2 linked regions of the Oreochromis niloticus genome follow. The protein of the gene in region 1 purifies or fractionates together with the protein of each later gene. This does not show direct contact. Links are inferred from orthologs where the notes say so. Each region holds a gene or a part of one and is shown in the gene's direction. Other genes may lie near its edges.

Region 1 (3,922 bases):
GATCTGTTTGATTATAATTGAGTCAATGGAGTTATCTATATCAGAAAGATAGAACACCAAGAAACAGAACTAATATACAAATTAGCTTAAAAAAACAAGTAAAAATTATATTGAATAAGAGAAATGTCAAAGGGCTGACTTTTATTAGTTAATAATACTGTGCTGTATTTTATAAGACATATTTAGTCTAAAAGGAAACCTTTATTATCACAGTGAATAGGAAACTGTTGTTTTATATTCCCGTTCCACGAACAGATGCTGATTGATATCTATAGACTCAATAGCTGTTTAACTGATAAATTGGCAAGAAAGTGTTGTAATGAAAATGAACAGACGTTTAATGTTGTGTATCTCCTCAGTCATCTCTGCGGGAAGAGAGGTGCTTTATCTTTTCCTCTCTGTAAGGGCTAATAATTCCTTTAACAGGCTCCGTGTTGCTGCCTCATTAAGGACAGAGTTAATTCATGACAAGATGATGGCGGATTACTGTCATTTCCCATTAATGCAACCCTGATCTCAGATCTTGGTTATTGTTCAGAAAAATTATAAACACAGGCAAGTAAAAGATAAACGTGTAACCTTATTACATTAACCTTATTATTAACCTTATTACAATTAATGTTTTGATATTGGTAATAAAATAGCTGTTCTAATAAGCACATTAATAAATATGATCTATTTGCCATTTATTTTCGTAGATAAAAAATATAAACACATGAAGGATGGCTAAAGACCTTTGCATGGTTTAGTAACCACAGGATGAATAGTAAATGATGGCCATGTTCCAAATAATATGTTGTTACTGGTGCATATGTGAACAGTGTTACTACCCTAAACTGGATAAGATATCCAGTTAGATTAGATAGATAAGTAGACAGATATCAGCATTGTTATTTGTAGGATATGGAACATTCTAAACTGTGACATTAATAAATAAAATATCACATAGAAGCTGTTATGTTCCATGTATTCTTCTGTTAGCATAAAAGCTGATAATCATGACATTACAGAATGAATCACATTATTAAACACACACACACCAACCACCATTTGTCAGCCAATCATGTCAGCTTAGTGACGAGCTTCCTGGTCACATTTTCTCGTAGGTCCTTAATAATGTTTGCTGCCACGCGCTCAACAGAAAGGGCACGGTTACATTAGAAAGCTCACACACAGGCGGGCAGAATGAAGAGGAGAAACAAATTATCTGACTGTAAAAGGCGGTCACACGGCTAGTGTGCTCGGAGCCTGATAAGAAGAGCAACTACAGATGCTATTTACTCTGTGTTACGCCAAGGACGTATGAGGAAGGCAAACACAGGCGTGACTGACAAGAGGAGGCGCAGGGTTTGGGGAACGTCCGTTTTAAATCCTTCAGAGATGTGAATCATGTCTTGACTGCAAAAAGATTAGCTTAACTGCAGCAGCACGTCAGACATAACAACAACAATAAATAATAACAACACAGGCCTCCTCCGATGGAGCTCGGTGCTCTTTAATCCAACCAGAAACCTCCCTGACAGGCAGCGACGAGCTACGGCAAAGGGTGAGGTGTCGAAATGATCGAGGTGGAGGGGTTGGTGTGGTGAGGGTGGTGGAGACACTTAGGCTAGCTAAATGTTCAAGCTAAATATGTGCGAGGCTAAGCTAATGTTGCGATATCGCTGCCGCCGCGGTGGAGAATGGCTCAGTGTAAATATCGGCGAACAGCTGTGATTACGTTTATTCCAGTGCTTCAGTCTGTCTTCCTCTCTTTCTCTGTTCAACAGGAAGCTTTATTCGCGATTGAAGGAATTTATGGGATCACAAGGTAACCCTTTCACCACAAAACAAGTGTCACTCTCAAGTGTTTTTGTTGCGTGTGGCCCCCGCTGTCAGTGGGCTTTTTTCCCCTCGTGTTGTCGCGCGTGTGACGGGATTAAGTTTCCTTTGTTTACAGTCTGAATTTGGGAACAGCTGATACGTCCTCAGCAGTGCCGCGACGCTGCTTCTTATGTGTTTCTTTCTGGATGCGCTGCAGCCGCTGCAAATAGACGTAGATTAATTTGTCATGCACAGATACACTGCAGGCAAAACACAGCGAGTGCTATGGTGGTTTTATGTGCGTGTGCCTGAGCGCCTAAATTATATAGAAAAGCACAAAACAGCACAGGTGAAAAGACTCCTGCGGCCGTGTCTCATTAAAAGATGAATGCTTATGAAAAAGCGTGGTGCAACACTTTTTGTTTGAACTTGCTTCTGCTGCTCAAACACTGATGACTTTCATGTGCCTCTCTGTGCAGTTTCCTCTGATGAGATGAGTGTGAGTGCTGGCCAGGGCAGTGATGAGGTGCTGGTTTCACAGGCAGTGTGGGATTACCTGACTGCAGCTGGGCGGCCCTGGCTCATTGACTTCCAGCACAAGCAGGGGATGAGTGCTGGTATCATTAGGCGAGGAGAGAGGGGGGGCTGCTGTGCTGTTCGGCTGCAGCCGGTGGAAGGCTCGAGGAGCGTTGGGGCTGGTGTGATGGATGGACCCATCTCCAGCGAGACGCGAAAAGCTTTCATTGACTTATGCCGTTGTGCCCGCAAAGAAATGAGCAAACAGGAGGGGGGATCCAAGAGGAAGAGGGCTCTGCTGCCCTGTGTGGGAGTCCTGGAGCAGAACGGAGAGGGGAGCCTGCTCCAGCCTCCACCTCCCCAGCCTCGGCGCTCCCAGAGACAGCAGCAGAGGTTCAAGAAGCCTGTTGACGAGGAGGCGTGCGTCATGCTCCACGAGGCTGCCCAGAGGAAAGACGTGGACTCCGGCATGGCTTCCCACGGTGAAACCGAGGACAGTAATACTTGCTCGATCTGCATGGGGGACATAGTGGAGAAGACTACCCTGGAAAAATGTGGCCATTCTTTCTGTCGCTCTTGCCTGGATCAAGCCTTTAAAGTGAAGAAAGCGTGTCCCGTCTGTCGGCTCGTGTATGGGCAGCTGATTGGGAATCAGCCTGCCAATGGCTCAATGATTGTAGAACGAGATCCTGATCTGGAGCTTCCTGGCCATGAAGGCTATGGGTGTATCTGCATCATCTACAGCTTCCCTCCTGGCTTACAGTCGGTGAGTAGACGAGGACAGTAGATGCAACACAGGGGAAAAAGTTTTAGTAATCGTTTTTGTGTGTGTAAAGAAATTTGTTGGATTTATAATTCAGATTGTTAAACATTGTTAATCATTAGAATTCCAGTGAATAATTAAGAATAGGAGTGTATTTATGTAAGAGAGTCTTACTTTGGCATAAAATAAATCATACTGCACATATGATGACAGTCTCTCTCCTCAGTTTGACCACGTATATTTACTCTTTCTGTCATGACTGATGCCTTGCTGTTTGACTTTGACCTTTAATGTAGCCACAAATTTACAGTTTCCAGAGGGAAGTTCATTAACCTTAAAAGGTTATTCTAAGGACACACAATAATCTACAAAATAAGGGTCATAATCTCTCCAAACCCTGTCACGCTAGATTGTATTCAGCTTTTCTGTGTCTTACTGTTTAAACGTCAAACTTAAGCTGAGAAAACATCTGTTGACAACGAAAGTTGGTTTCCACACTGTTTTTTAAACAGGTGTCAATGTCGGAATTCCCCTGAAAAAATAAACCTTTTGTGGAGTTTCCCTTCCCAGGAAACAGACGCCAAGTAGAAGGGGTAGAATGTGTCACAGGTGCCTTATCTCTTATCAAAATTAAGGTTCAAGATTGTCTTTATTGTTTCCTAAAATCTATCCTGGGTTGAAGAAACTGTCAAAATGACAAAGTAGCTGTAATAGATTATATAAAAAACACACTTGCAAACACACTCCTCCTGTGTTAAATATGCCTAAAAATACAAGACCTGGATGTGTAGCAGTGCCGCAGAACTGAGGCATTTGATTGTTTAAAGCCATTTATGCGTT
Region 2 (3,922 bases), about 4.1 Mb from region 1:
GCATGTTTTGAAATATCTAGAGGTTCAGATAAGAGGGAAGATACACTAATCCAGGACCATCTCTGTACTCAGAGATGTGAAGATGGATTCGTTTGGGTGGGTGGGTTTTTTGTCTATCACATAGTGAAAGGGCTTTTTTTTTTAAAAAATTGTTTGTTTTACAATGTACATAACCAAGAAAAAGGCCAGTGGAATTATAGCTTAAATAAGCAAGAGAGGAACTCATTACTGATGTATACATCCCTCTCACACGTTTGCGCCAGTGAACGTTTCAGCTATTGGTACTACATGCGTGTAAACCAGAGTGGCGCTAACCTAGCCTAGCTTAGCTTCAACTCAAAACTCATAAACACATCGTGAAAATAGTACGAGGCTTGAACAACAGGAGAGCAAACATTTCGCTCTCAGATTCTTGCAAGCTGGCTGGCTGGCTATACCTGTTACCTGAAAATCTCTGCGAACATCCGCTCAACGAGCTAGCAACCAATGAGCCTTAGCCAGACGCATGCTTTACAACTGCGTATCTACTACAACAAATTTAGTCCACCGTGACCAATGGCAATATAAAGTAATACTCCTAGAACGTATACATTAATTCTTCATGACTCTCAAACCCGATGCTGCCACTGCTATGGCCTCCCTACTGAGTAGAAGCTAAACAGTGAACGCCCATTTCAGCGTAGCTGGCTAGCTAACAATTGCTTTTGGTTAGCAGGGCGTTCCATCGCTACACAGACATTATTCGCCAGTTTAAAATAAAATAACAAGACACAGCGAATTTTTAAGGTGATGTTCTTTTGGGATCAAATGTTAATGGGCTCCCACTAGGAGATCAAGACGTTTGTTCAAACAAAAATAACAGCATTCGCAAATCTTACCTTTAACAAGTGCTAGTCATGGCTAGCTACGCCTCCTCAGCTGTTGGAAATTCCCAGTATAACAACACGCATGCGCTCAATCCTGACAGTTCATCAGCATCAGGAGCCCACGTGCTAGGGAAGACGGGATACAGACCCCCAAATACATCATCCCCAGTCTTCATTCATTTTTGTTTTTGTTTTGCATGGGTAAAAAAATATATATATACATATAGGCTCGCGTGCGCGCAGAGACAGATTTCCCGGGTTCATAATGATTTGCCGAAGGTATACATTTAGTGGTGTGGATTTCCTGCTTTTTCGTTGTATTAGTGCCCGAATAATTCAGATTTATTTGAATAACTATATATTGTAATATTTTGAATGTCTCTGGGGGGTTTCGATATCTAGTGGGAGGGGGGGGTGTCACAGATTTAGTAAGTATGTCGTACAATTATGTGTTACGATGTTTACTTTCGCCGGTGACCCCGCCCCCTCGCGCTTAAAAAAGAACAAGAACCCGATGACGTCGTCACGGGGACGGTTGGTGCTGGTGGTGGAACCGACTCAGTGAAGAAAAGAAATGGCGATGCTCGGAGGCTTTAGCGCAGCACCTCACAAGAAGAACGCCTCGGACGGGAGCAACGACGTGTCCGAATTCGTCTGTCCAGTTTGCCTCGAAATATTCGACAGTCCCGTGACAACACAGTGTGGACATACGTGAGTATTTTTGCCGTTTATTTTCCATCGCCCTCCCCCTAACCCTCGTCTGCCACCAACGATGCAGTGAAAAGAGGCAAAAACAATGGAGGAAAGGGCTTCACTTTAAATATGTCGTCGCACCAGAGTTGCAAAATATCGGCCTCGCGAGTGTCTTCTAGTGCTACGACCCCGTTTTTTCTATTTTTCTCTCTCGAATATGTGACAAAAACAGTTCCAGCTTGCTAAATCAGTTTCAGTTTTGTTTACATCAAAAAGGAGGCCTCACTTGGGAGTTGTAGTTTGGATGTGTATTGCTCTAACTCTTCAAACCACTTTAAAGAACTACAAGTCCCTGGCTATTCTCGAGGTGGGGGACTTTCCATATGAGTTACAGGAAGGTCCAGTCACTAGCATAATAAAGGTTTGTTTTAGTGACAGCATTTGGGGTTTTTTTCTCATTGCAGGCCATGCGTTAATGTAAACAGAGTTGCTGCATGTTTTTGTCTTGTTTTTTAATAATTTTTTTTTTAAAGCCTCAGGTTACCAGAGCCCAAATTAAAAGTGACAATTTAGTTGATTTATCTTGTGCAGCAGTCACATTATTTCACCCATCTCTTGACAGGTTTTGCCACAGTTGTTTGCAGGAATGTCTGCGTCCACAGAAACCTGTGTGTGCTGTATGTCGAGGCGCTCCAGGCCACTGGACTAGAGCTGCTCAACTCGAGGCACTCATTCAATCTTCTGTGGCAGCCTGTAAGGGATGTGGCACACAGGTATGTTTCACTAAAGTCCAAAAGCTAAAATATTGCTGAACTGACTCACATTTATGAAGCAGTCACAGAGGGTGAATATTCAATAACTGCACATGCATAATCTTAATATTTTGCTGTGTCTAAATTTCTGTCTTTATATTTAGATAATAGCAACAATTTTATGATGATGGTCATATACTGGAAGTTACTGATATGTGTCACTCCTCCCCCAATTAGGTTGGGCTTTCTAAGATGAGAAGCCACACAGCTGCCTGTTCAAAATACCAGGAGTACATTGAGGAGGGAGTCAGGACAACTGCCCAGAGCCAGCCTGCCATCGTCAGGTGGGGAAAGAAGCAGAACAATTATTTGCTATTCCCTACATAAGAAAAGCAAAATGGTTTACACTGTAGAGTCAGACTTTGCGTGCAATCACTGCTGCTTGTTGGGTTGTATAAATTAAAGGTCACCTTTGGACTAACACCAATCCAAAGTGAAAAAGGAAATGAGTGCAGCCCTGTCAGTAGAGTCAGTGAGAGGGCTTCATTCACAGAGCAGAGAGTACTGTACATAGGAAATGGAGTTCTGTTGGCCCAATCAAATGTATGCAATGATAGATTTATGATAGATTTCACTGTAACTTAAGTGCCAAATTTAAACAGTTGACCTGTTGTGACAAATGATGGAATAATATCTTCTTGTGATATAAAATTCCCTGTTTATAGTATTATAAACTCTTGGCAGTACATTGTTGTTTGATAAGACTCCAAAGTCGTGGCTCCATTACTGCCTTGTTTCACTGACATGCCTAACATGTCAGTCAAAAATGAAATGCTCTGTTTTTGCGGTCAATCTGTCATGTGAACTATATGTAGTGTATACATTTTACACTTAAAGTTAAAAAAAGTAAATGGAAGTTTTAGCACAAATAGGATTTCAAATTAAACACAATCTGATTGCAAGTAAAATAGTATTATAAAGTGTGATCAAGCTTATGCTAAGTATTCTGTATTTTACCTGTTGTAATTTCCAATCATGATTTTTCCAGAGTGTATAGAAAACAGTACAACTTTTATCTTTAGAAAACATAAAACACTGTTATTGTCAAGTTGTATGAAGTGGATCTGGTTTTTATCATATTTGGATGTTAAGTATTTATGACAGCTGTACTTCCTGGAGAAAGTTCCGAGAAGATGGTTTGAGAAGCCGTCGCTTGTAATGAGGTTATTATGACTAATCAGGAAGTAGTCTTTAGTGGGGGGTTTTTGTTTTGTTTTTTTCCACCCAAACAGCAGCCTTTAAAACAAAGAATCCACACATTGTGGCATGTTGGGCCAACACTGTTTAAAGTAAGAAACCGATCCTGGTATTTATTTATTTTGTTATTTAACCCTCCAGATGTTTGTGCCAGGAAACGGATTCCTGTTATAAAAAAGAAAAAAGAATAACTGTCACTTTTAAGCCTTTCTCAAGCTCTTTCAGCTGGTGAAAAGTTGATGTGACAAAAGATAAAGATTGGCCACTAACTGTGGTAAATTATTTCTTCATAAGCTGATGCCTGTTGCACTTCAAGTGCAATATTCATGTAGTTGAGAACCAAACCTTGTGACA

What was found.
Region 2: the proteins of dtx3 (region 1) and rnf114 purify together in Homo sapiens (affinity purification with mass spectrometry; 3 studies listed by BioGRID and IntAct, counting the BioPlex papers as one, with this or other methods). This does not show direct contact. The link is inferred for Oreochromis niloticus from reciprocal best matches to the Homo sapiens genes DTX3 and RNF114.

What each region holds. Positions count from the first base shown.
Region 1 is NC_031984.2:20,417,258-20,421,179, reverse strand, and holds the start of dtx3 (putative E3 ubiquitin-protein ligase DTX3), read left to right. Parts: upstream 1-1,078; 5' UTR 1,079-1,546; intron 1,547-1,769; 5' UTR 1,770-1,797; coding exon 1,798-1,810; intron 1,811-2,282; coding exon 2,283-3,085; intron 3,086-3,922. UniProt on the Homo sapiens protein: Regulator of Notch signaling, a signaling pathway involved in cell-cell communications that regulates a broad spectrum of cell-fate determinations.
Region 2 is NC_031984.2:16,330,888-16,334,809, forward strand, and holds the start of rnf114 (E3 ubiquitin-protein ligase RNF114), read left to right. Parts: upstream 1-1,368; 5' UTR 1,369-1,440; coding exon 1,441-1,577; intron 1,578-2,181; coding exon 2,182-2,332; intron 2,333-2,548; coding exon 2,549-2,655; intron 2,656-3,922. UniProt on the Homo sapiens protein: E3 ubiquitin-protein ligase that promotes the ubiquitination of various substrates. In turn, participates in the regulation of many biological processes including cell cycle, apoptosis, osteoclastogenesis as well as innate or adaptive immunity.